Oryctolagus cuniculus: one gene and its partners. The protein of the gene in region 5 interacts with the protein of the main gene of each other region in a pairwise test. Links are inferred from orthologs where the notes say so. Each region holds a gene or a part of one and is shown on either strand. Other genes may lie near its edges.

Region 1 (5,164 bases), on a different chromosome or scaffold from region 5:
CAGCACGGAGGCGGGGCCCGCAGGGCAGTTCCTACGGCAACGCCAGCCTTGTCCATCACGGACGGAGGCGGGGCCCGCAGGGCAGTTCCTACGGCAACGGCAGCCTTGTCCGTCACGGACGGAGGCGGGGCCCGCAGGGCAGTTCCTAACGCAACGCCAGCCTGTCCATCACGGACAGAGGCGGGGCCCGCAGGGCAGTTCCTACGGCAACGCCAGCCTGTCCATCACGGACAGAGGCGGGGCCCGCAGGGCAGTTCCTACGGCAACGGCAGCCTTGTCCGTCACGGACGGAGGCGGGGCCCGCAGGGCAGTTCCTACGGCAACGCCAGCCTGTCCATCACGGACAGAGGCGGGGCCCGCAGGGCAGTTCCTACGGCAACGCCAGCCTGTCCATCACGGACAGAGGCGGGGCCCGCAGGGCAGTTCCTACGGCAACGCCAGCCTGTCCATCACGGACGGAGGCGGGGCCCGCAGGGCAGTTCCTACGGCAACGCCAGCCTGTCCATCACGGACAGAGGCGGGGCCCGCAGGGCAGTTCCTACGGCAACGCCAGCCTTGTCCATCACGGACGGAGGCGGGGCCCGCAGGGCAGTTCCTACGGCAACGCCAGCCTGTCCATCACGGACGGAGGCGGGGCCCGCAGGGCAGTCCCTACGGCAACGCCAGCCTTGTCCATCACGGACGGAGGCGGGGCCCTCAGGGCAGTTCCTACGGCAACGGCAGCCTTGTCCATCACGGACGGAGGCGGGGCCCGCAGGGCAGTTCCTACGGCAACGCCAGCCTTGTCCATCACGGACGGAGGCGGGGCCCGCAGGGCAGTTCCTACGGCAACGCCAGCCTTGTCCATCACGGACGGAGGCGGGGCCCGCAGGGCAGTTCCTACGGCAACGCCAGCCTGTCCATCACGGACAGAGGCGGGGCCCGCAGGGCAGTTCCTACGGCAACGCCAGCCTGTCCATCACGGCTCGGAGGCGGGGCCCGCAGGGCAGTTCCTACGGCAACAGCAGCCTTGTCAATCACAGCAAGGAGGCGGGGCCCCGCAGCAGAGCCTCAGGGCGTCCGTGGATTCCAGTCTGCGCCGTCTAAATTTAGAACATTCTCGTCACCCCCGAAGGCAGTGCCCAGCCCCTCCCTCAGGCCGCGGCGACCACGCCCCCTTCCTGTCCCCGCGGAGTCCCCTGCCCGGCCGTGGGGCCCCACGCGCGTTCGTGCTCCCCGGCGTGACGTCTGCGGGGCCCGCAAGTACTCGGCCCCGCACTCCGGGCCGCAGACGTCTGTCCCGTTTTGCGGGGAGCCTCGCGCAGGTTCTCCCGCAGCCGCACCCCGGGACTGCCGGGCTGACCGTCCGTGAGCGCCAGCCGCTCCCAAACCCACGCACCCGCCCCGTGGACACCGGACTCGCCCCTTGGTTTGTGCGAGGACCTGTGCGTGAGCAGGCAGATGGGGCGGGGGGCGGCCAAGGTGCCCAGGGTGCCCGAGGACTGACGGCCGTGCAGATGGGGCTGACTCCGGCCCGGGTCTCCTGCCCAGCCCCCGCCTGACCCCGGCCCAGGTCGCCTGTCCAGCCCCCGCCTGACCCAGGCCCGGTCTCGGCCACGCAGCGCTCCAGCCTCTCGGCCACGGCGGGTTTGGCCCCCTCCCCAGCTCTGCGGGTGCTAAGAACCAGAGCCCCCTCGCCCTAGCGACCCCCTGCGTCCCCACGGCAACCGGGGCGGGGCCGAACCCGGATCCGCGCGCGCCTGCTGGCCCTTTAAGAGGCTCCGCCCCGCGCGGCCTCGGACGCCAGGGATTGGCCCCGAGCGCGGCCTCGCGCAGCCGAACTTGACGCGCCGCCCGCCGCCTCCCCGGCCCGCCTCCCCGGCGACTCGGCAGCCGCTGCGGCCAATCGCCGAGCGGCGCGCCGACCCTCATCTACATGATCACGCCCCCGGGGCGGGCCCCGGCCAATCGGGCCGCTCGCCGGGGCCTCATTAGCATGCCGGGGGCGGTTGGTTGGCGCGTCGCGGCGGCCGCCAGGGCCGGGAAAGTTTCTGTGGAGGTGAAAGCCGCGCGGAAGTCGGGGTCCCGCGCAGGGCGGGGGCGCGGGGGGCGCGGGGCGCGGCCGGGGCCGCCTCGGGCCGGGGGCGGGGCCGGGCGGGCCCCCGGGGGCGGCGATCGCCCAACAAAGGAGCCCCCGGCGCCCGCCCTCGAGCGCGTCCCCGCCCCCAGCGCACCCCCCGGGGTCCCGGGCGCCCCTCGCCGACGCCGCGCGTCTGCGTTGCAGGTCCGGCCCGGAGCCGCCATGTCCCACGGCCCCAAGCAGCCCGGCGCGGCCGCCGCGTGAGTGCGCCGCCCCCGCCCCAGCGCCCTGCCCCCTTGGAGGGTTTCTCCCGGGTCGCCACCTCCCCAGCCCGGCCTGCGCCCTGCCCCGGCCCCCTCCCCAGCCCCTCCTGCCCCCGCCCCGCCTCCACCCCTTCCCCAGCCCCGCTCCTTCCTAGGCCCCCTCGGGCTCCCGTCCTGACCCGGCCCGCGCCCCCCGGCTGGGCTCCGTCCTCCCAAGGCCGCCTCTGCGTCCCCTCCCCGATCTGCCCATGTCCCGACCCCGGCGGGCGGCGGTCTGGGCTCCAGGGGCCGGCGTGACCCTGGTGACCCCGTGCCCCGTGGCTGCAGGCCGGCGGGCGGCAGGGCTCCGGGCCCACACGGGGGCTTCGTGGTCGCGGTCAAGCAGGAGCGCGCCGAGGGCCCGCGGGCCGGCGAGAAGGGGTCCCAGGAGGAGGAGGTGAGCACAGGGCCCGCCCGCCCCGTGTGCAAGTCTTGTGGCTCCGCCCACTGCCCGGTATCCGGGGAACACTGTCCCACTATCCCCCCTCGCCCCGCCCACATCCCGGTGACCCCGCCCTTTGGGCGGAGCTTTCCTTTGGGCCGCCTATAAGCGCTTCTTTCTGTCAGAGGCCACGCCCACAATCAGAAGCCACACCCCCAGGGGACCCGCGGTCCGCCTGCCCAGGTCCAGGCCCCCTTGGACCTGGTCCTCCTCCAGCCTGGCCCTCTCGGGGCCCCGGCCCCTGCCCACGCGCCCCGTTCCGCAGCCGGTCAGGAAGCGCGGCTGGCCCAAGGGCAAGAAGCGGAAGAAGGTCCTGCCGAACGGGCCCAAGGCGCCGGTCACCGGCTACGTGCGCTTCCTGAACGAGCGGCGGGAGCAGATCCGCACGCGCCACCCAGACCTGCCGTTCCCCGAGATCACGAAGATGCTGGGCGCCGAGTGGAGCAAGCTGCAGCCGGCGGAGAAGCAGGTGCGGCGGCCGAGGGGCCCCGGCGCGCCCTGGCTGGCCTCGCTCGGTCGGTGCCCGCCGGGGTCGGACAGGGCCGAAGGGGGCACCGGCCTCGGTCAGCGCCCACCGGGGTCGGACAGGGCCGAAGGGGGCACCGGCCTCGGTCGGCGCCCACCGGGGTCGGACAGGGCCGAAGGGGGCACCGGCCTCGGTCAGCGCCCGGCCGGGTCGGACAGGGCCGAAGGGGGCACCGGCCTCGGTCAGCGCCCGCCCGGTCGGACAGGGCCGAAGGGGGCACCGGTCTCGGTCAGCGCCCGCCCGGGTTGGACAGGGCCGAAGGGGGCACCGGCCTCGGTCAGCGCCCGCCCGGTCGGACAGGGCCGGGTCTCTGCTGAACCCAGATTTGCGCGTTAGTTTAAATGTGGAAAACCCAGGCGGGTCCGACGGAGGCCAGCGCTGGTCTGCGCCTGTTGCGAGTGGGGTGCGGGCCGGGGCCACCGAGGGTGCAGCGGGGGCGGGGCGGGGCGGGGCTCGGGCCCACCTGCCCGCCCACCCGCAGCGGTACCTGGACGAGGCGGAGCGCGAGAAGCAGCAGTACATGCGGGAGCTGCGGGCCTACCAGCAGTCCGAGGCCTACCAGATGTGCGCCGAGAAAATCCAGGAGAAGAAAGCCAAGAGAGGTGGGCGGGGCGTGGGGGCGGAGCCACAGCCCGGCCATGGCCAAGGCCACTGCGTGATGGGCGCTGACCCTGCCCCTCCCTCCCGCCAGAGGACTCGGGCTCCGGGCTGCTGAACACCGTGTTGAACGGGTACAAGGTGAGCGCGGCCCTGTGCCCGCCCGGGCAGCAGGCAGGGAGGGTGCGGGGTGCCGCGGGGAGCCGGCCGGGAGGGGTGCGGGGAGCCACGGGGAGCAGGCAGGGAGGGGGCGGGGAGCCACGGGGAGCCATGGGGGGCAGGCCGGGAGGGCGCGGGGAGCCACGGGGACCCGGCCGGGAGGGCCCGGGGAGCTGGCCGGGAGGGGGCGGGGAGCCACGGGGAGCCATGGGGAGCCGGCCGGGAGGGCGTGGGGAGCAGGCCAGGTGGGTGTGGGGAGCCACGGGAAGGGGGCAGGGAGCCGGCCGGGTGGGTGTGGGGAGCCGCGGGCGGGCGCAGGCCTAGGTGCCCCGGGAGCTCCCCCCAGCATAGCCACCTCGCCCCCCGACCCAGGCCGGGGACTGCGACGGCCTGGCCGCCTTCGACGTCCCTATCTTCACTGAGGAGTTTCTGGACCAAAACAAAGGTTGGCGCCCGGTGGTCCCGGCGCGGGGGGGGCGCGGGGAGGGGGCGCGGGGCTCTCCGGGGGGTGGGGAGAGGGTGTGGGGACCCGGCTGGCGGGGTGGGAGGGGCGGGGCCCCGAGGGCCGGGCTGGCGGGGGTCGGGGAGGGGCGGGGCCCCGAGGGCCCGCGGTGCGGGTCGGGGCGCGGGACCCCAGCCCTGACCCGGCCCCCCACGCCCCCAGCGCGGGAGGCGGAGCTGCGGCGCCTGCGGCAGGTGAACGTGGCCTTCGCGGAGCAGAACGCGGCCCTGCAGCGCCACACGCGCACCATGAGCAGCGCCCGCGAGCGCCTGGAGCAGGAGCTGGCGCTGGAGGAGCGGCGGACGCTGGCGCTGCAGCAGCAGCTGCAGGCCGTGCGCCAGGCGCTCACCGCCAGCTTCGCCTCGCTGCCCGTGCCGGGTGCGGAACCCTGCCCGGCCCAGCCCTCAACCCTCAACCCTCTAGCTGGCCCCGCCCCTCCCGGGCCCCGCCCCATCGTCTAGAGCCCCGCCCCAGAGCCCTGCCTCCAGCTTCGCTCCAGCCCCGCCCTCCCTCCCAGCCCCACCCCGGTTGCCCAACCCTCTAGCCGGCCCCGCCCGCCCTCCCGGGCCCCGCCCTC
Region 2 (4,646 bases), on a different chromosome or scaffold from region 5:
CTTCCTCGCTAGTTTTTTCTGGTGTCCCTAATAGATCGCTACAATGGAAAGTATTCTCTTTAAGGAAGTCATTTAATTTTTAGTAAAGCAGGCCATAAACACAAATTTTCTTTAACTAGAACAGGTTGCATATTATTCAAAGTCTCTGTTCTGGTTTCTGTTTCTCATTTATGCTTTGAAGGGTGAGGTTGTGTAAGAAGCTGACATGTTAGCAATATATGCTTTATTTATTTATTTATTTATTTATTTATTTATTTATTTATTTTTGACAGGCAGAGTGGACAGTGAGAGAGAGAGACAGAGAGAAAGGTCTTCCTTTGCCGTTGGTTCACCCTCCAATGGCCGCCGTGGCCGGCGCACCGCGCTGATCCGATGGCAGGAGCCAGGAGCCAGGTGCTTTTCCTGGTCTCCCATGGGGTGCAGGGCCCAAGCACTTGGGCCATCCTCCACTGCACTCCCTGGCCACAGCAGAGAGCTGGCCTGGAAGAGGGACAACCGGGACAGAATCTGGCGCCCCAACCGGGACTAGAACCCGGTGTGCCAGCGCCGCTAGGCGGAGGATTAGCCTAGTGAGCGTGGCGCCGGCCAATATATGCTTTTTTATTATTTATTTTATTATTATTAATTTGACAGAGTTACAGAGAGAGAGAGAGAGAGAGAGAAGTCTTCCTTCCATTGGTTCACTCCCCAAATGGCCGATCCGAAGCCAGGAGCCAGGTGCTTCTCCTGGTCTCCCATGGGGTGCAGGGCCCAAGCACTTGGGCCATCCTCCACTGCACTCCCTGGCCACAGCAGAGAGCTGGCCTGGAAGAGGGGCAACCGGGACAGAATCCGGCGCCCATATGGGATGCCGGTGCCCGCAGGTGGAGGATTAACCGAGTGAGCCACGGCGCCGGCCCCAGCAATATATGCTTTAACCATGGATAGATGGAGATGGAGGTTTCCCTGGACAGAGTTCTGGATGATACCAGAAAGGTGCAGGAGGCAGAGGGGCTGGCGTAGACTAGAACTCCACAGGGGCATCTGAGCGAGCTCTCAGGTGTCGCAGTTAAAACGAGCGGGATAAATGTGATGTTAGGAAGCAGAGATGGTCCGAGGGCGGGGTTGAAAGGCCCGGTCACCAAGTGATGGGAGCCGTGCGGATCACAGGGGAGCTCGGAGGAGTGCTGGCTTTCTTACACTTTGACACTGTTCCTGTGGACACATACAGCTGGTGACAAAATGGAGCACCTTTTGAAAGAACGTATCTACAGGTGGACTCCCCTCCTCCAAGCATCGTGGGAATTCGGTCTGTTGTCAGTCGCCTCGTAGGTGAATTCACCGCACTGTAGAATCTCAGTGCTGGAAGGCCTGCATTTTTCTTCCCCAGCGTGGAGCTGCAGCGCAAGCTCAAGTGAAGAGGTAGCCGTCTTCCTGGTTCTGAGGTCGTCTTCAAGGAGGCGCTTTCGCCTCTGTGTGGAAGGGTGAAGCTGACAACTGCCATCTGTACCGTGCAGAGCCTCCCCTCGGTAGGAAAGGGGATTGCGTGGTGTCAGACTGGGTACCAGGGAGAAAAGTGTACAAACTGTGGTCTTGTTTAGAAAGTCAGGCTGTTACAGAGATGCAGATGACAAGGAAGAACGGTTATCTGCATGTTTGGTTTTCTCTAAGAATAGTGACTTTTTATATCCTGTTTTTTCTCCCTTAGTTGTGGCAATTTATGATTACACAAAAGACAAGGAGGATGAGCTGTCCTTCCAGGAAGGAGCCATCATCTACGTCATCAAGAAGAATGACGACGGCTGGTACGAGGGCGTGATGAATGGAGTGACTGGGCTCTTCCCGGGCAACTACGTGGAGTCCATCATGCATTATTCCGAGTGACGCGCGGGGGGCTGTGCGGCCCTCGCAGGAACAGTCAGGTCTCCCCGGAGTACTCATGGCCCGGGGCGCCCCTTCCAAACAGAACGAAGGATACAAACGATAAAACGGCTTTTTTTTTTTTTTTTTTTAATCCCCGAGTATTGAAAACAAAAAAGCCAACTCTGAGCAGACGGGTCTTTCTGCAGTGATTGGTGCCACGCTGAGCTGTCGAGTGATGCGCCGTGACCGGTTCCGAGGTGGCAAAGCTGGAACCGCCTAACCGTGCAGCTGAGCACATCAGAGTGACTGATTCGGGACACTGTCTGGGATCGTTCTCAGGAATACTGGACACCCTCGATTCCTCCTCCCACAAAACCCGTGGCATTGGGTGTTCTCTGCCTGTGCTAAGGGGTTGGCTTCATGCCCAGTGGGTACTGGTGCCCGCACTTCCTTCCGCTTGGAGGAGGAGGAGGAAGTCGATACTTACACTCCCCGGTAACCATGGTTCCGTTGGCTCAGCAGCCTTGTTCCTCCTGGACACTGTAAATTCCGCATCCTCAACACCTGAGTGCGCCCAGCGAGTTGACCTTGAACGCACTTGTATCCCTTGTTCCCCAGTGTGTAGATGACAGGATGCTGCTCTGGGAGTCTGCAGACATGGCGGGGTGGGTAAGGACTGCACGGTGTGATGTACCACGCTGCCGGGAAGCAGCTGGGGTGGGGGCGGTTCCCGGGGAGGCGGTGGGAGGGTCCGAGAGCAAGCTGCTGCCTGGCCTCGAGGGCATCCCAAACCCTTGCCTGAGGTGCAGTTCTGTGGGGCCCTCCTTTTCCCTACATAGAAAGACCCTGTTCCCAGCCTCCTCCTGGCCACCCTGGGGCGCTGGGAGAGGGAGCCTCACCGTGATGGGACCCTGAGGGGCTTCTCAGCCCCAAGCCCATCTCACACTCAGAGCATCCTAGCTGGAGAGCAGCAACAGGCCTCAATGCTGACCCCCTCGCTAATTTAGAAGCAGTAACAAAAGAATTTTACTCCCATCTGTTCAGCTGTTAGGGTTCTACATGGAGTGGAGTTTGCAGGCCAGTGGCTTCCTTCGTCACACTTGCTGTCCCCTGAGTACTGGGAACCCCCGGCAAGGCACGCAGTGCAGGCAGGAACTTGAGTGCAAATGAGCAGGCAGAAGTCATGTTCTGTTGCACATCGCTGTGCAACAGACCCAGCTGTAGAGATTCCTGATCAAGACTTTGTGAAGTTATAATTAAGAAGAAAGGTAACTGGGCTTAACCATTTTGCTTCCTGATTTCCCCAGACTGGTCTTAGCTTTACTAACTTGCCTCCAGTCCACATTCCACTTCGTGCTTTTCTTGAGTCATCTTGATGTCCCTTAGTGTTCCTTCACAGTCAGTGCCGCGGGGCCTTCAACGCCATCGGACACCCAAACCAGACTGCGTGTGCATCGGGTAAACCCTGCTTAGTGCCGGCGTGCAGCTGGACAGACAGCTTTGAAATGACATCTTCCAGCTATATTTTTGAGTAGTTTCTTTGCTGAGAGCATTTTGTGGTTTAAGGTGTTTTGAAATCCAACAAGTAGCTCCCGGCTCCCCACCAGAGGAGACCCCTGTGCAGAAGCTGTAACGCGCGCACCTGCTGGACCCTTGCTGGATGGGAGTGTGCCAGATACTCGGTGAAGGCCTCTCTATATTTAACATCTGCGGTGGCAGGAGTCCACGACTTAGCCAGTATTTTCTATATTATTTGGTACTGTTGTGTGTGTGTGACTTTTGTTTAACAAATGATATTTGTTGGATTTTCTGCCCACTTTTTTTGTACAGTTCTGAATTCTATAGATTGTCTCAGAAGGATATAATGTAATGATGGGCCAGGCCTGCATTGGAGACTTTTAATGTATGTAATATTTCATAGATTGCATGCTATTAATAGTCTGTGAGGGTAATATTTCCTGTTGTGTTTCCCCCTTTATCTTCCTGTAAACTAAAAGATGGTATTAGGAATTCCAAATGAATGCAGAAAAATCTTACATGCTTTTAATAATTACAGCGAGGATGATCCAAGTCGCAGATCTGCTGAACAGCAAGCAACCATTTGTAAGGATAGAATCTGATGGGAAAAAGATTCTTCCCTCTGAAGTTCATTTAGACTGTGGTCATCTCATTATTACAATTTTTTTAAAAAGTCACTGCATAATGGTTTTTTTTTTTTTTTTGGTGTTAATATTCCAGAGTTGGTGGAGATATGAATGAAAACGCACTGTTTTTGTTTTTGACCTTATGGCCAAGACAATAAATTGGAAACAAAGTACCAGTGCATCAAAATCCAGACCTGAGAAATCCAGACTAATGTGTTTGGAATAAATACTAATCTGCTAAGACGTCTCGGTCCGTATTTTCTGTCTCTCGGCCTTTTTCCTTTCTCCCTCAGTAGCGCTTGCTGCTCTCACCTTAGGGCTGCGAAGAACTTGCTAACTCCGCTGTGTTGCTGAGTCACTGGGGATGAGCCCTTCTCATCCTCTCCTCTCCCTCCTCCGACTGTTTGGTCCCGGCGAGAGCAGCTGTTGTGTACATCTCCCCAGCACTGTGTGTAGCGTGGCTGTGCCACATAGCTGTGCTTTGTGTTGAGTAAATTGATTTTTCTGTTTGGGAGGCATCAAAATACAGTTTGCTGTGATCTTGGTTTCCACTTGAGTTTAGCAGGTGCCATTTCTGCACCTCTAGGAGCTACTTCCCCTTCTGTCACCTTCTCCTCCGTGGGCATTGCCAGGTCCTGAGGTCCACCGTTACGTGTGCAG
Region 3 (5,298 bases), on a different chromosome or scaffold from region 5:
ATTTATGTAAATACAAGAAATTTGAATATTTTTCCTTTCTTAAGATAACTATTCAATAAACTGTGTTAGGCATCTTTTAAAAAAGAAAAAGAAGAAGAGACTGTGAAGTGTGATTGCTAGCTCAGGGCTTCGGAAAAGGAAGAGAAGCTACATGAAGTTGTCCAACAAGTGTCTTGTTCCTACTTAGCAGTGGAAACAAATAGTTCATTCAGCTAATCATTTATGAGGCAAAGAACAGGAATTTGGGGGATGTCAGGGCTTGCTTTGTGATAGGTCAACAAAGGAGGTATCTGCTACGTGCTATTCAAGTCATATGAGGGAGCAGCATTCTTTGCAGGAGGCTTTTTGCCACAACACAAAAGGCTGAGGGGTTTCTTAACCTTCTGGGTGGTCCGGGTTTACAGGGTTCAGGTAAAATGCACCATGATCTCCTCCTCATCCCTCAGCAACTTTTTGTTTTTAAGGAAAGACTAGGGAGGAGCCAAGTCTAGCAGTGAGAAGTAGAATGAAGTACAGAGGTGCTCAGGACAGCTCTGCTCACAGCCTGTATGAGACTGGGCAGCTGGTGGTGTCATCCAGAGGGTGCTGTGGACTGCTGTAAGGAGAGCCGTCTGGTCTGTGACCACGTGGCAGCGCCAAGTAATCATTTTCTCCAGTAAGGAGAAGGAAATTAATTTAAGAGATAGTCCAAAGTATGTTCTTGTTAAGTACGCAGTATAGGGGTCTGGGTTACAGTGTCATGTCTCACCTAGGAAAAATTTTCAATTAAAGGAGAATAATGCAATATTTGTATGTATCTTACTTGGTGACATTTAGTTTTAAAAGTTTTCTGCTTTTCACATTTTCATTAAAATATGATTTTAAAAAAGGCCTGTTATTCGTACCAAATACAGCAAAACTTACGTTCTGTCAGCTTACAACTTCTGGCTCTGGTAATCTCAGAGCAGTGCTACACAAAGCATGGGCAGGGAACTGCAATAGCCGCTAGAGTTTTGGTACTTTTGCAGACTCTGAGCTCTGCCAAGACCTCCTGACTCACAACTTGAACCGCTACTATCACCTGCTCTGGGAAATGTGTGTGCACTTTGTAAACTGCTACCAGTGTCCCACCAGTGCCCTTTGCTGGGACAGGACTTTAGGGTCCCCAGTAGCCCCAAGGAAAACAGCTAAGTCTTCCCTCTGTGGAAGAAACCTGCTTTGGGAAAGAAAAGAGAGAAGTTTCGGTACCTCGTGGGTAATTCTCATGCAATCACGAGAATAATGAGAGAATGAAATCTTGATAGTTTCCTGTATCTCAATGAGCCTTGAAAATTGCATGCATTTGTAAAATGAAGGTAGTAGCTGTATTTTTTATTTTTTGCCGTCCCCTAGGACACAGTGGATAAAAATTAACAAGGACAGAGACGTTTGGTTAGTTAGTAGGTACCGAGCTTGTAGTTTGCACCTGGACCTATACTTTGCACATAGCCCTGTGTGCATAGCTTGGAATACACAAACAGGAGGAGCCACTGGTGAAAGTCAGAGCCAGTCCCAGTCCAATGGGTGAGAGACACCTATCATAGTAGCCGCAATGGTTGCTGGGACTGATGTGACAGGTGGTGGTCCTGTCGGCCTCTATTGAGCACGTACAAGCTGGACTGTGAGCAACTCTGCAACGCAACAGTTCTCAGTATGGTTTGAATTCTCTGTTCCCCCTCCAGTCATGACTCAGAGGAGAAACGTGCGGTGGACAGGGCACAACCCCTTTATTGCAGGAGTGGGGTGGAGGTGGAGATGGGGGTGGGCGTGGCCGTAGACGTTGCCGGGATGCATCTGCGAGTGGGCGGTGCTGAAGACCGTTGCTTACCCGACAATTTCTTTCCCGCCACAAACTCGCGGCTCATTCCGTACAGTGGCGGCGGCAGAGTGGCCACGCTGCACGGGCGCTGTGGCCTGGAGGCATTCCCAGAAGGTAAGGAGCTGGGTTTGGGCACAAAAGGGAACCAAGGTTACAACAGATTCCCTCCAATGATCCTGGTTGACCTCCATGAGGTCCCAGGGGCCAGTGGCCTTAGATTCCCCTGGAAGCAGAATCCTAGGGGTCCCTGATATTTCCAGTTATCATGAGTGGCCTCAGAACTTTAGGAGGGCCCATTCTACCCCAAACCTGCCCAGACGTAGCAGTAAGGACAACTGGTTCTGGCCCTTATCCTTGAGGGAAAGTGGCTTTGGCCATTCCTGTTCTAGCCTCTAGCTACCTCTGCTGACTAGATGTGTCCCTGCTCAGAGTAGTGGAAAGGGTGTGTGAGGTTAGGAGTGAATGGGACAGCCTGATGGGTACAGGAGGTTAAAGATAATGAGGTGGGGGAAAGGAGTACAGGGAAATGGAAGTGAGGAACTTGGGTGGGTGCAGGACGTGCACATGAATGGCGGAGTGTATGACACTCGGATGGACACAGAGTTTGGCGGTTCAGTGGCTCTTGGTGAAAGTGGCTTTTGGCGCCAGAAATGGCGCTTGCGCAAGACGCAGTTTGCCGGTTCAGTGGATCTTCAGAGGTTGGCTTTTGGCGCCAGGAATGGCGCTTGCGTGGACGCAGAGTTTGGCGCCAGAGGTGGGGCTTACGTGGACGCAGAGTTAGACGGCAGGGGTGGGGCTTGCGTGGACGCAGAGTGTTGCGCCGGGGTGGGACTTGCGTGGACGCAGAGTTTGACGGCAGGGGTGGGGCTTGCGTGGACGCAGAGTGTTGCGCCGGGGTGGGGCTTGCGTGGACGCAGAGTTTGACGGCAGAGGTGGGACTTGCATGGACGTAGAGTGTTGCACCAGAGATGGAACTTGCGTGGACGCAGAGTTTGACGGCAGGGGTGGGGCTTGCGTGGACGCAGAGTTTGGCACCAGAGGTGGGGCTTACGTGGACGCAGAGTTAGACGGCAGGGGTGGGGCTTGCGTGGACGCAGAGTGTTGCGCCGGGGTGGGACTTGCGTGGACGCAGAGTTTGACGGCAGGGGTGGGGCTTGCGTGGACGCAGAGTGTTGCGCCGGGGTGGGACTTGCGTGGACGCAGAGTTTGGCGCCAGAGGTGGGGCTTGCGTGGACGCAGAGTTTGACGGCAGGGGTGGAGCTTGTGTGGACGCAGAGTGTTGCGCCGGGGTGGGGCTTGCGTGGACGCAGAGTTTGACGGCAGAGGTGGGACTTGCATGGACGTAGAGTGTTGCACCAGAGATGGAACTTGCGTGGACGCAGAGTTTGACGGCAGGGGTGGGGCTTGCGTGGACGCAGATTAGACGGCAGGGGTGGGGCTTGCGTGGACGCAGATTAGACGGCAGAGGTGGGGCTTGCGTGGACGCAGAGTTTGACGGCAGAGGTGGGACTTGCATGGACGTAGAGTGTTGCACCAGAGATGGAGCTTGCATGGACGCAGAGTGTTGCGCCGGGGTGGGACTTGTGTGGACGCAGAGTTTGGCGCCAGAGGTGGGGCTTACGTGGACGCAGAGTTAGACGGCAGGGGTGGGGCTTGCATGGACGCAGAGTGTTGCGCCGGGGTGGGACTTGCGTGGACGCAGAGTTTGGCGCCAGAGGTGGGGCTTACGTGGACGCAGAGTTAGACGGCAGGGGTGGGGCTTGCGTGGACGCAGAGTGTTGCGCCGGGGTGGGACTTGCGTGGACGCAGAGTTTGACGGCAGGGGTGGGGCTTGCGTGGACACAGAGTGTTGCGCCGGGGTGGGGCTTGCGTGGACGCAGAGTTTGACGGCAGAGGTGGGACTTGCATGGACGTAGAGTGTTGCACCAGAGATGGAACTTGCGTGGACGCAGAGTTTGACGGCAGGGGTGGGGCTTGCGTGGACGCAGAGTTTGGCACCAGAGGTGGGGCTTACGTGGACGCAGAGTTAGACGGCAGGGGTGGGGCTTGCGTGGACGCAGAGTTTGGTGCAAGGAGTGGGGCTTGCGTGGACGCAGTTACATGGCAGGCGTGAGGCTTAGGTGGATGCAGAGCTTGGCCTTGGGGGTGTGGCTTGAGTGGAGGTGGGATTTGGGGCTTGGTGGGTGGGATTTTTCCCTGGGGGTGGAGCAGCAGTTTCTTGTATTCGTGAGCAGATTCAAAATTGGCACATCCTGAGCAGGGCATTTGGGACGTAACCACAGTGAAATACCTCTGCCTTGCTTTGGACAGATCCAGTGAAGGGATCCTGATCCATCTAACCTGGTTCGGGAACTGCCTGACAGGACAGAGCTGGAGAGCAAGCTGAGTGCCTGATTACATCAGAATCACAAACTCTACACGGCCAGTGGAATCCACACTGCCAAGTCGTCAAGTAAGTTATTTTGGAAGGTGAGCCTCTGTGACCCTGGCAAAGGACAAGGGGACAAAGGCTGCCTTCCAGGATCCACACACTCTGCAGGGTAGGGCCACACCTAGGGTGACAGTTGTCTGTTTCCTGCAGCGGGACAGTGGGAACCCTTCGTTGGGTCCCTTTTCTGCCCCTAATTCTAGCTGCTACACAATATGAAACCTTAAGCACTTGTTTTTTCAGCACTCAGTCCTTGCTGCTCACCTCACCCCCATCTCCCCTTCACTCTCCCAGCTCCCTTGCTGCTAGGACATTTCCATTGGCTGGAGGATAGTGACATCACCTGTTGCTCTTCAAGTGCCTTCACCTTACCACATGACACAGCCCTGTGCTAGAAACCCATGGTCCATGCTGTTCTCAGTAAGCATAGTAACACTGTAGTTTCTGCACCTACCATTCTCAGATTGCACAGAGCTCTGGCCACCTTTGTCTTCTGTGGGACATTTTCTGAGAAAGAGAACAGCTCCCAGTCTCCTGCCAGCCTTTACCCCAGCAAAGAGATTTCCAGGTCATCTAGACCCACACAAATCCTCTTCTGACAGGCAGCCTTTTTTTTTTTTTTTACAAGCAGAGTTAGACAGTGAAAGAGACAGAGAGAAAGGTCTTCCTTTCTGTTGGTTAACCCCCCAAATGGCTGCTAAAACCGGCGCACTGCACCAATCCAAAGCCAGAAGCCAGGTGCTTCCTCCTGGTCTCCCATGCGGGTGCAGGGCTCAAGCACTTGAGCCATCCTCAACTGCCTTCCCGGGCCACAGCAGAGAGCTGGATTGGAAAAGGAGCGACCGGGACAGAATCCGACGCCCTGACCTGGACTAGAATCCGGGGTGTCGGCACCACAGGCAGAGGATTAGCCAAGTGAGCCACGGCACCGGCCACAGGCAGCCTTTGTCAGTGTCCCTAGGCATCAGTCCCTGCCTGCTGACAATGGCCTTTGTCCCACAGGCACCTGCAGCACCTACACGCAGCAGAGTTC
Region 4 (5,358 bases), on a different chromosome or scaffold from region 5:
ACTTTGGGTGTCCATTTATTGGAAGGTTGTGTCCCAAGGTCAGATGACAGGAGACTCCGTACTCACCCAGTAAAATATCCCTCTAGGCAATGAAGGATAACGAGTTTCTACCAGCCTACTTCTAATCCTACTAATTTCTCCTTTCCTTTCCAGAACTGGCAATTCTTGAAGAGGAAGAGGTTTGAGAGTGGGTAGACAGCAGTTGCTCAAAACTCCAAAAAGCACCACAAAATTCATAGCCAAGTTGTATCTGTGAAATTAATTACCCTCACTAGCCTATGCGGTCAACTGGAATGAGAATCACATTTTTATTTCCCTTTTAAAAAATTAATTTATTTGAAAGGCAGAGTGAGAAAGTTGAAGAGAGACAAAGAGATCTTCCATCCACTGATTCATCCCCAGCCCCCAGAGGCTAAATAACCAGGCTAAAGCCAGGAGCCTTTAACTCCATTCAGGTCTCCCACATGGGCAGCAAGGACCTAAGCATACGGACCATCCTTTGCTGCCTTACCAGGCACATCAGCAGGGAGTGGAATGGAAGTGGAGCATCTGGGACTAGAAATGGTGCTCTGATACAGGATGCCAACATCACAAGTCTTGGCATAAGGCACTATACCACAACACCAGCCTCATAATCATGTCTCTAGTCACTCTGCTACCACACCAAAATTAGGCCTGGGCTGCTGGATGTGGACAGGCAATGCCCCGGAGACAAGAGGTGATGCTGGGAGACAGTGTTTATTACAGTGGCTACCTAGAGGCTCCACCCTCCCAAATGTGCTCTTCCCCACTTTGCAAGCTAGCAGAATGACTTTTAAAGGAGAAAGAGGATTTGGGATAGGGGAGGCAGTAAGGGAAGAAATTGGGTCCTGAAATTCTTGGGCAACTAGTTTAAGTCACAAGACAAGTCACAAGAGAAGTCACGCAAGACAAGTGATAAACATCTGTTAATTAAAATCTGAAAAGAGAGGAAGGGAAGACGCCTTTCTTAAGGTTACATGTCCTCAGTGTCTCAACAGGACTGTGCGTATATTTAGGAATACATGAATCTTAGCAATTTTGTTTTTCTAAAATGTGTGTGGGGACAATGTACCAGTTTCTGAAATAATTACACCTTTCAAAATGTATGATCAGAAGTGTGGTGGAATAGTATGTGGCGAGCACTGCCGCTAAGTCATAAATTACAGAATGAATTCATCTGCTGGGACAATGTACCAGTTTTTAAAATAATTACATCTTTTAAAGCAGCTGCTTTTGATATGTATGACCAGCAGTATACTAAGTTGGATACGTGGCAAGCACTGCCAGTAAGTCAGAAATTTTAACAATTACAGCATGAATTCATATGTGTAGCAAAATAATGACAAAATCAGTGAGTAGAGGTGAAATGCCAATCAAGACGGTAAACAATTGGCTATCCAGGATGGAAACTTAGTTCAACCTTAAATGTATCTAAAGAAATCATATATCAATGTAATTTTAATCTAGAGACAATCAGCTCTTTACATTCAGGAAGCCTTTTCTACAGAGTCAGTTGTTATTAAACTTCCAAAGTTGGCTTAAGAGCAGCTTATTAGTGAGTGAAGTAAATTTTGAAAGTAGGCTTCAAGGTTAAATATTACAATTGGGATGGAACAGCTAGCATGCGACAGGGTGCAAGCTTTGAACCTTGGCCAATCTGCTAATGACAAGACAGAAAACCTTCCATTAATTCAGCAAAACCTGGTTAGCCGTTTCAACCTGCAGCTTTAGGCAGCTCCCACCTGGAATTTAGGGTTGTCCACCCACTTCACCCCAAGCGGGAACTGGAATGGAAAAGGTAAAACGTGGCTACTGCGCATGCTCACACCGCCCTTCTTCACTCCACTACTCCCCCTCCCCGTCCCTGGACGCCACTGCAGCAACTTTCCAGGACGACTTTAGAATGGTCCCCGCCCACCGTGCAGTCAGACTGGCGGAAACCATTCTTTTCTGCGACGTGGACACCCGTCTCCTCATTAGAGCTTTCCAATTTGGAAGCAGTCATCGCGCGCCTCCGCTTCTCAGGGATTCCAGCGGCGCTTGCCAGTTGTCAATATGGCCGCTGACAGGCGGGTCGTAAGCAGAGAGGCCTTTCATAGGCCAAGGTCGCTTCCCGGCCCCGCCCATTTCATCCCTCCGGGCTGCGTCCGCCCAGCTCCTCGCTACGCATGCGCAGCGGGGGCGGGCCGGGAGGTGGGACTGTCCGAGTCTTCCGTGTGCCACCGCTGCCGCCTCAGCCTCACTGGTGCTGCCACTCTGGGGCTGCAGTGCCGGCGTTATCGGCTCGAGGGGAAGGGAGGGGACCGACGGAGCGTGCGTGCGCGCGCGGGGGTCCCCGCAGTCCCAGCAGTTCCCCTCGAGTGTAGTGGGCGGCCAGGCTAAGCAGCAGTCGAGGGAGGCCCTAGACGGCGCCATGTCGGCGGGCGGCCCGTGCCCGGCAGGAGCCGGAGGGGGCCCCGGGGGCGCCTCCTGCGCCGTGGGGGTCTCCCCTGGCGGGGTGTCCATGTTCCGGTGGTTGGAGGTGCTGGAGAAGGAGTTCGACAAGGCCTTTGTGGATGTGGATCTGCTTCTGGGCGAGATCGATCCGGACCAGGCGGACATCACTTACGAGGGGCGACAGAAGATGACCAGCCTGAGTTCCTGCTTTGCGCAGCTTTGCCACAAAGCTCAGACTGTGTCCCAAATCAACCACAAGCTCGAGGTGAGCCGTGGGCGCTGGCATGGGTGGCAGTCGACCCCAGGTGGGCCAGTGGCGTCAGATCCCATCAACGCACCAGCGAAACGACCCTAGAAAACTGCCCATTGGGGCACCTGGCCTTGGAATGCGATGGGGGGAGTGCGTGGGCAGGAGCGGAGGAGGGGGAGAGCTGAGACCGGAGGAGAGAAAGGGACGTAGACCTACGTGTGGGTCTCCCGGGGTCCTGTCATTCACCTTCGAGTATCTCACTGAGGAGGGAACAGGAACTAGTGATACTGGTGTCCCTCGTACATGTTACGTTAGACCTCATTGTGTCATGAGGATACCTTAGCCCACGTTTTGACACTGGGGTTTTGCAGACTAGGTTAGTATATTTCCAGACAGTCCCGGTCCTGATTATTTTCATTTTAGATGTTACAGACTGGCATGTGTGGTTGCACACGGAGACATGCATGAACTATCTAAAGGGAATCTGATCCAAGGTCTTAGAAAAATTTAGTGGAGTGTACCCGTATACATAGTATCGTTTTGTCTGGGTTCACATTCATAGTTGGTCCTTAAATTACAAGCACATACCTCCAGAGCTTCCTGCAGTTATTCAGGTGACTTCTAACACTGAGGTTAATGGATTTCTACTTTACTGTGTTTCCCAAAGTCTGGATTTATTTTGAGTGTGTGTAAAGAATGATCATTTGCTTGAGTCTCAAATCCAAACACACAAAATAAGCTACCACAGTGTACAGAAAATTAAATTGGGGTGTTATCACAATATTTAGAAATTATGATAGATTAATGTTGCATAAAGGATTCTAACTCGGCAATTTAAACGAGAGAATGTCTTTAAATTTTAGAGTAGATAAAAATGGGATAATGAATGATATGCAGAGCTCTTTGAACATTAGCTTATCTAGGAAATCATCATTGCTACTAGCTGAAATAAATTTATGAGACCCCATTGTATCCAGATTAACAGGACTGTCACATATGCATCCTCTCCTTGCTCAGTGATCCGTATTGTTTTGCTTTTCTCTTGTTAACTATGAAAAAGGTGGTATAATTAATCTTTGATTGGTGTAGACTTCCATACCCAAGATTTTATGGCTCTTCTGCACTGAGAGGACTGCTGATTTCTTCCATCCTTTGTGAAAAAATTGCAATGAAAATGCTGATATGCAAGCACTCATGTCTTATTGTAGGTAAATTAAAATGTTTCTTGATTTCTTGATTAGTGATACTTTCTAGAAGATAGCTATTTTTTTAAGTAATGAAATTTTATTTGATGGTTTTTAGAAATAGTAACTTTAAGCAGCAAAAATCAAGAGTAGCTTTTGCCAAAGCAAAAAACAAAAAAACTTTAGTATAATTTGCAACCCCAGGCATCTATAGGGGATAAATGGCTTTGTAGAAATGAAACATTATCTAACTTATTTTTTAACGACCTAAGGAAAGTAAAATGTTTGTTAAGACAGATACAAAATCTGATTTTGGAGAAAGGATCATTCTGTAAGTAGGAGGTGGTGGTCAAATTTTTTTTTTTTCATTTTTAAATACTTTAGATGAATATTCAGGGTTGTAATAAATTATGCTTTTTTTTTTTTTAGAAATTGTAATTACATATTCTGACTCCATGTCCTGGCCAATTATTTCTCAAAATATAAAGTGCTAGCATATTGCAATGTGAGCATATTTTTTCAGCAGGTTTGAAACTCCTGATTTAAAGATCTTAGAAAATGGAGAAGGAGAGGCATACCTTGATTTTTGTTGTTTTTTTTTTCAGTTACATTAGATTTTTCTGCCTGTGGTGTTAATTTTTTCACATTTAGCAGCTTCTACAGTTTCCATGGAATCAGTTGGATGTTGCTGAAGAAAGAGGTTCCTTGTCAACAGTGCCTTTCAAAGTAGATCTGCTGGTTGTACCATCTGCAGAATTTTAGGGATTGCTGTAAATTTATGGGCTCCTGAGAACTTGAAATTTGAGAAAAGGTTTCCATACTTTCATGCCTTATCATATTTCTTAGTAGGCCAATTGAATTATATTGTTTGAAATAAATATTAAGACATAATATTTGAGTGCACATGTTGTTTGATACAATAAATACACTCCAAGTTCAGTGATTTTAGAGATTAATATTTTTAAATATTTATATATAATAAAGACTCAAATAACTCCAGTGTGGGTGATGTATAATGTATCTAAATTAGTCTTAAGTATCCTTCTAGATTGCCATTTCTATCCAGTCCTGTGTCTTTGGGTAGCACTACATTTTTTTTCTTTCTTCCTTTATTTTTATTTATTTGAAAGAGTTACAGAGAGAGGTAAAGACAGAGAGAGAGAGAGATCTCCCATCCACTAGTTCACTCCCCAGTTGGCTACAACAGCCAGAGCTGAGCTGATCTGAAGCCAGGAACCAGGAACTTCTTCCAAGTCTCCCACGTGGGTGCAGGGGCACGAGGACTTGGGCCATCTTCTACTGCTTTCCCAGGCCATAGCAGAGAGCTGGATTGGAAGAGGAGCAGCCAAGACTCAAACTGGTCCTCCTACCCGCCATGGGATGCCGGTGTCTCAGGCCAGGGCTTTAACCTGCTGAGCCACAGCACTGGCCCCTATTTATTCTTTTTAATTGAAACAGGAATTTTTA
Region 5 (4,646 bases):
GAGGAGCAACCGGGACAGAATCTGGCGCCCCGACCAGGACTAGAATGTGGAGTGCCGGAGCCGCAGGCGGAGGATTAGCCTATTGAGCCGCAGCACCAGCCGACAGTATGTATTCTTAAAATTTAGTTGTGTCATGGCATATCTGAGTATTTGAATTAGAGACATAGCTAGTACAATGTTCCTTGAATCCATAAACTAATTCTTGGTTATTACAATGAATTATATGAATGAACCAGGCTTTGCATTTGAAAATGAAGGTTTCTCTTCAAATGTATTATGTTGAGACATTCACAGTATTTTGAGGTTTCATTACAGTATCTCTGTGTCACCACTGTTAAGAACTAATCAGGGGCTGGCACTGTGACGCAGCGGGTTAACGCCCTGGCCTGAAGCGTTGGCATCCCATATGGGCACAGGTTTGAGTCCTGGGTGCTCCACTTCCGATCCAGCTCTCTGCTATGGCGTGGGAAAGCAGTATATGATGCCGGCGCCGTGGCTCAATAGGCTAATCCTCCACCTTGCGGCGCCAGCACACCGGGTTCTAGTCCCGGTTGGGGCGCCGGATTCTGTCCCGGTTGCCCCTCTTCCAGGCCAGCTCTCTGCTATGGCCAGGGAGTTTAGTGGAGGATGGCCCAGGTGCTTGGGCCCTGCACCCCATGGGAGACCAGGAAAAGCACCTGGATCCTGGCTCCTGCCATCGGATCAGCGTGGTGCGCCGGCTGCAGCGGCGGCCATTGGAGGGTGATCCAACGGCAAAGGAAGACCTTTCTCTCTCTGTCTCTCTCTCTCACTGTCCACTCTGCCTGTCAAAAAAAAAAAAAAAAAAAAAAAAAAAAAAAAGAAAGCAGTATATGATGGCCCAAATCCTTGGGCCCATGCACCCACATGGGAGACCCAACAGAAACTCTTGGCTTCGGATTGGCGTGGCTCCAGCCATTGCGGCTACTTGGGGAGTGAACCAGCAGATGGAAGACCCCTCTCTGTCTTCTCTCTCTCTCTCTCTCTCTTGCCTCTCCTCTCTCTGTGTAACTCTGACTTTCAAATAAATAAATAAATCTTAAAAAAAGAACTAATCATACATAGTAGGTACTTATTAAAAGTTTCTTTATTTTGGAAAACAGGTAAAATTACTCTTGATTGTAGGTAAATTCATATTTGTGATAGAAGAAGCCTCAATCAGCTGTTTTCATTTTGATCAGTTTTATGCTAACACTAGGCCAGTGAGAAAGATTCCAGGGTATATGTCATTTGTCCTACTACTGTATTCAGGGACACACATCTGATTTTATTACTTTTCAACATGATATATGTAGCTACAATATTCTTAAAAGAATTAAGAAATAAATAAAGCTAGGTAACCTGGCATAGAAATGGTAGTTTTAATTTTTTTTATATGAGAGTCAGAAAGCAAACAGAGAGCACTCCCATCCACTGGCCTACATAAGGACTGGGGCACATAGTACTTTCAAAAATATTTTATATGATGATTTATTTATTTCTTTGAAAGGCAGAGGCAGAGAGAGAGAAGTCTTCCATCTGTTGGTTCACTATCCAAATGGTTGTAATGGCCGGAGCTGGGCCGATCTGAAGCCAGGAGCCAGGAGCTTCTAGGTTCAGGGGTCCGAGGACTTGGGCCAACTTCTGCTGCTTTCCCATAGCAGAGAGGTGGGTTGGAAATGGAGCAGCTGGGACTTTTAAGTGGCGCCTGTATGGGATGCCAGCACTGCAGACGCAGCTTCACCTGCTACTCCACAGTGCCGTCCCGGACACATAGTACTTTAAGAATAAAATATTAAAAATTAAATATCATTGATTTTATTTGAGCTTGGATTTATTTAATTTAAAACCCATAACTCATGGCAAATTTAATTTTAGGCACATATGTACAGAATCAGTTCAGTGAAATATTGTAATGATACGATTTTTGGCACCGTGTGCTATTCTGATAATTGGCACTCATTTATTAATATGTCCCAATCAATTCTACTTGAGATTTGACTAGTGAACAAAATGTCAATAAACATACCTATTAAAATATTCAAGAGCTTTCTGAAAATTCTTTCTACTCTTTCATCCCAAAAATGTTAAAAACAACCAGTTGGCTTTTCTTTGTAACTCTCAAGTGTTTTGTGAAAAGGAAACCTTGAAGAGATTTGTCAACTCAAAAACTTTTTAAAGCAGTTAAAGTTTATGCTGAGTTATTTTAAGCTATAATTATGAAATATTAAATTAAAACAAACTAAAAGAGTAGAAGTTTTGAGAAATGTATTTTACTATAGTAAGGTTGAACATAGAAATTTAAGTTTGTAAAAGAAGGCAAGTCCTTAAATAAAATTATAAAAAAAGTAATAAAAAACAGTGGGGGAAAATAAAGAAAAAGAAGGCAAGTCAGTTTGACTGTATCAAAATAATCTTACAGAATGATAGTGAAATGAATGGATTTGACACTATATCATAACATTTATTTCCATTTGATACTGCATTTATTATTTATTATTTTTCTCTGAAAGAGTTAAACATTCAACAATAACAACTGTTTTATGCTTTTTTTCCCCCCAGGAAGATGTCATTATTGATCCACTAAGATTAAATGAGGAGATGAAATCCAATCTAGATAGTCCTGATTTATTTAAGAAATGTGGTTCTGGAAATTGTGCAATGAAACCTGAGCTAAGACTACCAGCTATAAATCTGCCTTTGGAGAATGACGTAACTGACGTGTCAACTTTGCAGGTGCATTTGGATGACTTCCAGAAAATCCTTTGGAAAGAAAGAGAGTAAGTTCTAAGCATTGTCTTCCTTAACCAAGTCTGATTTCAAACTTCTTAAAATTGGTAAGTCTGATCAACTGGTTGCTGGGTAATGTATTTTCTCATGTTTATCTATTACTTTCTAAGATTCAAAAAATGAATTTTGTGTATCATTTTGAATTTTGAAAAGTAATTTAGAGATTTTCTTTTATTCTTTCAAATTGACTTATTATAAGCACATTATCATCTTTGAGATTCACTTTTAACTATTTGAATTCTTAATATATGATTAAAATATCTAGTGTATATCTAGTTTTTACAGCAGCTTTGGACTTCAGTGATTCAATAAAATAATGAATGTTACCATAAGTAACAGACAAATCACAATTTTGCAAGGCACTCATTGCTGAACAAGATTTTTTACACATTGAGCGTCATGGTATATAGGGAAAGAGCACTAGGCTTGTGATTAAGTGACCTGGTTATTCATTTGCTTTGGCTATATTTTTGCTATATCATAACTGGACTGCTGTCCCTTTTGTAAGAATAGGGGCAGTGGGGCAATGTTGTGGTATAGTGGATGAAGATACTGCCTGCAATGCTGGCAGCTTATATAGGGCATCAGTTCAAGTCCTGGCTATTTCACTTCTGATCCAGCTTCCTGATAATGCTCCTGGGAAAGCAGCAGAGGATGGCCCAAGTGCTTGGGCCCCTGCACCCACATGGGAGACCTGGGTGAAGCTCCTGGCTCCTGGCTTCCGCCTGGCCCAGCCTTCGCAGTTGCAACCATTTGGGGAGTGAACCAGTGGGTGGAAGACCTCTCTCTCTGTCTCTCCCTCTCTTTCTGTAACTCTGCCTTTCAAATCAATAGAAAATAATTTTAAAAGGTTTAAATGACAGCAGGGACAGTGATGTTATCTTTTTTTTTTTTTTTTTTTTTTTTGACAGGCAGAGTGGATAGTGAGAGAGAGAGAGACAGAGAGAAAGGTCTTCCTTTTTTGCCATTGGTTCACCCTCCAATGGCTGCCACGGCTGGCGCGCTGTGGCCGGCGCACCGTGCTGATCCTAAGGCAGGAGCCAGGTGTTTCTCCTGGTCTCCCATGTGGGTGCAGGGCCCAAGCACTTGGGCCATCCTCCACTGCCTTCCCGGGCCACAGCAAAGAGCTGGACAGGAAGAGGAGCGACTGGGACAGAATCTGGCGCCCCGACCGGGACTAGAACCCGGTGTGCCGGTGCCGCTAGGTGGAGGATTAGCCTATTGAGCCGCGAGTGATGTTGTCTTTCGGTTATCCATTGTTTTGTAATACGTTCCTGAACAATTGTTCTTAAACCAAGATATATTCTGTAGATTAGTCATGGCTTTGCATGGTGCCTATCTCTCCCATGAAGGTTGAGCTTGGATGATTCACAGGCAGTGGTGACTGGAAGGTTGGGAGCTGCAATACCTGATGTTTTACCCAATCACATGCCTGATAGATTCTGATTCTCTCCTGGGCTCTCAGTTGGAATGCCTGAATGGTCTTATCCCCATGAATGCTTGGCTTCTCCACATGAATTGCCTAAGGTTCATGTGAATGACTTAAAACTATACAGAAATTTATAGCATTTTAATGACCTCTCCTCAAAAATCCCATAGCAGCCTTGGTGTTTGGCACTGTGGTTAGGATGTCACTTGGGGTGCCTGTATCTCCTACCAGAATACCTAGGCTCAAGTTCCATGCCGACTTCCTGTAATGTACACCGTGAGAGGCAGAAAGTGATGGCCAACCACAAAGGGGAATCATTGAATTCCAGGCTCCTGGCTTCAAGCCTTGCCCTGTCCTGGCTGTGGTGAGCCTTTGGAGGGGGAGTGAACCAGCAGATGAAAATTTTCTGTCTCTGTCTCTCTGCCTTTCA
Region 6 (3,605 bases), on a different chromosome or scaffold from region 5:
GATTTCTTTCTTAATTTCATATGCATGTTGTTCATTGCCTAGTATATGGAAATACAGTTGATTTTCCTATATTGATTAGTGTCTTCAAAATTGTTGGACTCATTTATTAGTTTTAATATCTGTATGTGTATGTGTGTGTGTGAGAGAGAGAGAGAGAGAGAAATACTCTTCTTATTTTTTTTTTTTACCTTGAGAGCATGTAGCATACTATCTAATGTTAGCTTGAACCACTTCAGTTGTTTGTATCAATCTCTTTAAATGTATAAATCTCTTTAAATTGCAGTAGAACCTTTCTGTTCAGTGAGTAATTTCCCAAATCCCAAAACTATTGAATCATTCTTTGTTTCCTTCACTCTTTGTCTACAGGTTTGGGAACAATGGGCCGAGGTATTGCCATTTCTTTTGCAAGGGCCAAGATTCCTGTGATTGCTGTGGAATCAGATAAAAAGCAACTGGAAGCTGCAAACAGGGTGATAACTTCCATCTTGGAAAAGGAAGCATCCAAAATGCAGCAGAGTGGCCACCCTGGGTCGGTACCAAAACCCAGGTTAACGTCATCCCTGAAGGAGCTCAGTGGTGTAGATTTAGTCGTTGAAGCGGTATTTGAGGACATGGCCCTGAAGAAGCAGGTGTTTGCTGAGCTGTCTGCTGTGTGTAAGCCAGAAGCATTCTTGTGCACCAACACTTCAGCCCTGGACGTTGATGAGATTGCTTCTTCCACTGACCGTCCCCACATGGTCATCGGCACCCACTTCTTCTCACCAGCTCACGTCATGAGGTTATTGGAGGTGATTCCTAGCAAATACTCCTCCCCCACCACCATTGCTACTGTCATGAACTTATCGAAAAGGATTAAAAAGGTTGGAGTGGTTGTAGGCAACTGTCACGGGTTTGTTGGGAATCGAATGTTGAGACCTTATTATGATCAGACGTACTTCCTGTTGGAAGATGGCAGCAAGCCGGAGGAGATAGATCAGGTGCTGGAGGAGTTTGGTTTTAAAATGGGACCTTTCAGGGTATCTGACCTTGCTGGGTTGGATGTGGGCTGGAGAATTCGGAAGGGGCAAGGTCTTACTGGACCCACGTTACCTCCAGGAACTCCTGCCCGAAAGCGGAACAACAGGAGATACTGCCCAATTCCTGACATGCTCTGTGAATCAGGACGATTTGGCCAGAAGGTTGGTAAGGGTTGGTATCAGTATGACAAGCCGCTGGGCAGGATTCACAAGCCTGACCCCTGGCTTTCCAACTTTCTGTCACAGTACAGAGAAACCTACCACATTGAACCTCGGGTCATCAGCCAGGAAGAGATCCTTGAGCGTAGCTTGTATGCACTCATCAATGAAGCCTTCCGTATCTTGGGAGAAGGGATGGCTGCCAGCCCAGAGCACATCGATGTTATCTATCTATATGGGTACGGCTGGCCTAGGCACAGAGGCGGGCCCATGTTCTATGCTTCCACAGTCGGCTTGCCCAAGGTTCTGGAGAAGCTGGAGAAATATTACAGACAGAACCCTGATATCCCTCAGCTGGAGCCCAGCGCCTATCTCAGAAAACTGGCTTCCCAGGGAAACCCTCCTCTGAGAGAGTGGCAGCGCTTGGCAGGGCCCCCGAGCAGTAAACTGTGATCCAGCCTCCCCGGTTACCTCGTAGCTGGCATCAGCTGATTCCCACTGGGTTCCAATGAAATTAAATCCAGAATTGTAGGTAAGATTGCTCAGAGATACAGGGCAAAGGAGTAATTTGTCAGCTAATTTTAAGGAATGTGCTTCCTATTCCTTTGTATCTGTCCTCTACCAGTAAATTCAAGGGTTAAACTTGTGTTAACCAAACACCATAGTAAGATACGATAAGAGAGCCGTGGGAATCAGTTGAGGTTCCCAAGTGCTCTGATCGTTGGAGAAATATGTCATCAATTAACAAATGAGAAGTGCAGCAAAGTCATCAATCATTTGACCCTTTCAGCCTCGCACACATAGTATTGATGGGGAATGCTACAGATCAAAGATTCGGTGAACACTGAGTGAGCACCTCCCTGGCGTCTTCCCCCTCTGGGAGCACTTGGCAGAGCAGAGTCCGTGGGGCCACGAAAGCGGCAGGGAAGCCCGTGCTGAAGTGCAGTGCGTGTTCTGTGCGGTGGAGCACAGAGGTGGCAGGGCAGAGGCAGCGGGGAGGGTCTCTGAGGCAGATTTAAATGTTCTAAGATCATTTAATAAAATAAGATGAGGCAGATTTAAATGTTGTGGAAATGGTATGTAACTCTGTGATTACACTAAACACTACTGAGTTGTATCTTGAAATGAGTGAATTGTAGATATGTGCATTATAAAATTGGAATGACATTGTTATCACATGAAATGATGTAAGTGAATTATTCTCACAATGTTTTCACATGTGAACTCCAACAAAATTATAAAAAGTTCTTGTGGCGAAATCTTGAACAAACAGAGTATAAGTTTTTCATTGCAAACAAGAAATAAATAAAGAAAATCCAATAATATGCCCTTGAATTGTTAAATTTCAAAAAACTTCTGTAATGCTTTCCAGTTGTTTATGTATATTTTGCTTTTAGGATTTAAAACATCAATTGAAAAGATTCCCTAAAGTAGTGACTTATTTTCAGGTTTCTGTAAAGAAATCCATGTTAACTTCTTGTGTTTTATCTCAGATTTCATTTTGAATTATTAAAGCATATTTCACAGTATACTAGCCTCTACAACAGAGTTTTGAAACTAGACAGTATGTGAATAAGTTTTGAGTTAATGACCCCTGAAATTTTATCATGAAGTTTTTGTATATGTATCTGTATGCATTTATTGGGAGAGAGAGACTATCTCCCACCGTATTGTGAAAAGTGCTGTTAACCAAATACAGTTTGAGGACCAATACTTTATATAGGAAATGGGCTGAAGAAATAGGAGTTCACTTATGTTATGTCAAAGAGGCAAAATGAATTCTAATTTGTTGGGTCCTATACTGAATAGTAATTAATCGGAGAAACATCTTAACATAGTCCATCCTGTCTTTGAAAATACACATCACAAGGGCAAGTGTTTGGCACAGTGGTTAAGATTTGGAACACCTGCATCTGGTATCAGAGTACCTGGATTTTTTTTTTTTTTTTTTTTTTTTTTTTTTTTTTTTTTTTTGACAGGCAGAGTGGACAGTGAGAGAGACAGAGAGAGAAAGGTCTTCCTTTTGCCGCTGGTTCACCCTCCAATGGCCGCCGCTGCAGCCGGCGCACCGCGCTGATCCTGGCAGGAGCCAGGAGCCAGGTGCTTTTCCTGGTCTCCCATGGGGTGCAGGGCCCAAGCACCTGGGCCATCCTCCACTGCACTCCCTGGCCATAGCAGAGAGCTGGCCTGGAAGAGGGGCAACCGGGACAGAATCCGGCGCCCCAACCGGGACTAGAACCCGGTGTGCCGGCGCCGCAAGGTGGAGGATTAGCCTATTGAGCCACGGCGCCGGCTAGAGTACCTGGATTTGAGTCCCAGATCTGCTTCTTTTTTTTTATAGAAAGCTTTTACTTAATAAATATAAATTTCATAAGTACAACTTTTGGATTATAGCAGTTTTTCCCCCATACCTGCCCTCCCACCCCCAAA

Evidence for each region.
Region 1: the proteins of CCDC102B (region 5) and HMG20B interact in binary tests that used the Homo sapiens proteins (3 or more experiments, as listed by UniProt). The two-hybrid records come from large-scale screens. The link is inferred for Oryctolagus cuniculus from reciprocal best matches to the Homo sapiens genes CCDC102B and HMG20B.
Region 2: the proteins of CCDC102B (region 5) and ABI2 interact in binary tests that used the Homo sapiens proteins (3 or more experiments, as listed by UniProt). The link is inferred for Oryctolagus cuniculus from reciprocal best matches to the Homo sapiens genes CCDC102B and ABI2.
Region 3: the proteins of CCDC102B (region 5) and PNMA5 interact in binary tests that used the Homo sapiens proteins (3 or more experiments, as listed by UniProt). The two-hybrid records come from large-scale screens. The link is inferred for Oryctolagus cuniculus from reciprocal best matches to the Homo sapiens genes CCDC102B and PNMA5.
Region 4: the proteins of CCDC102B (region 5) and GOPC interact in binary tests that used the Homo sapiens proteins (3 or more experiments, as listed by UniProt). The two-hybrid records come from large-scale screens. The link is inferred for Oryctolagus cuniculus from reciprocal best matches to the Homo sapiens genes CCDC102B and GOPC.
Region 6: the proteins of CCDC102B (region 5) and EHHADH interact in binary tests that used the Homo sapiens proteins (3 or more experiments, as listed by UniProt). The two-hybrid records come from large-scale screens. The link is inferred for Oryctolagus cuniculus from reciprocal best matches to the Homo sapiens genes CCDC102B and EHHADH.

What each region holds. Positions count from the first base shown.
Region 1 is NC_091447.1:59,466,966-59,472,129, reverse strand, and holds the start of HMG20B (SWI/SNF-related matrix-associated actin-dependent regulator of chromatin subfamily E member 1-related), read left to right. Parts: upstream 1-1,942; 5' UTR 1,943-1,975; coding exon 1,976-2,038; intron 2,039-2,263; coding exon 2,264-2,319; intron 2,320-2,649; coding exon 2,650-2,758; intron 2,759-3,068; coding exon 3,069-3,272; intron 3,273-3,810; coding exon 3,811-3,931; intron 3,932-4,020; coding exon 4,021-4,067; intron 4,068-4,457; coding exon 4,458-4,530; intron 4,531-4,749; coding exon 4,750-4,965; intron 4,966-5,164. UniProt on the Homo sapiens protein: Required for correct progression through G2 phase of the cell cycle and entry into mitosis. Required for RCOR1/CoREST mediated repression of neuronal specific gene promoters.
Region 2 is NC_091434.1:36,634,054-36,638,699, reverse strand, and holds part of ABI2 (abl interactor 2), read left to right. Parts: intron 1-1,687; coding exon 1,688-1,863; 3' UTR 1,864-4,646. UniProt on the Homo sapiens protein: Regulator of actin cytoskeleton dynamics underlying cell motility and adhesion. Functions as a component of the WAVE complex, which activates actin nucleating machinery Arp2/3 to drive lamellipodia formation.
Region 3 is NC_091453.1:131,405,609-131,410,906, reverse strand, and holds the start of PNMA5 (paraneoplastic antigen-like protein 5), read left to right. Parts: upstream 1-1,823; 5' UTR 1,824-1,951; intron 1,952-4,147; 5' UTR 4,148-4,289; intron 4,290-5,267; 5' UTR 5,268-5,298.
Region 4 is NC_091436.1:52,746,515-52,751,872, forward strand, and holds the start of GOPC (Golgi-associated PDZ and coiled-coil motif-containing protein), read left to right. Parts: upstream 1-2,187; 5' UTR 2,188-2,434; coding exon 2,435-2,722; intron 2,723-5,358.
Region 5 is NC_091441.1:9,980,164-9,984,809, reverse strand, and holds part of CCDC102B (coiled-coil domain-containing protein 102B), read left to right. Parts: intron 1-2,559; coding exon 2,560-2,777; intron 2,778-4,646. UniProt on the Homo sapiens protein: During interphase, forms fibers at the proximal ends of centrioles to maintain centrosome cohesion. During mitosis, dissociates from the centrosome following phosphorylation to allow centrosome separation. Contributes to CROCC/rootletin filament formation.
Region 6 is NC_091435.1:94,865,916-94,869,520, reverse strand, and holds the end of EHHADH (peroxisomal bifunctional enzyme), read left to right. Parts: intron 1-366; coding exon 367-1,628; 3' UTR 1,629-2,500; downstream 2,501-3,605. UniProt on the Homo sapiens protein: Peroxisomal trifunctional enzyme possessing 2-enoyl-CoA hydratase, 3-hydroxyacyl-CoA dehydrogenase, and delta 3, delta 2-enoyl-CoA isomerase activities. Catalyzes two of the four reactions of the long chain fatty acids peroxisomal beta-oxidation pathway.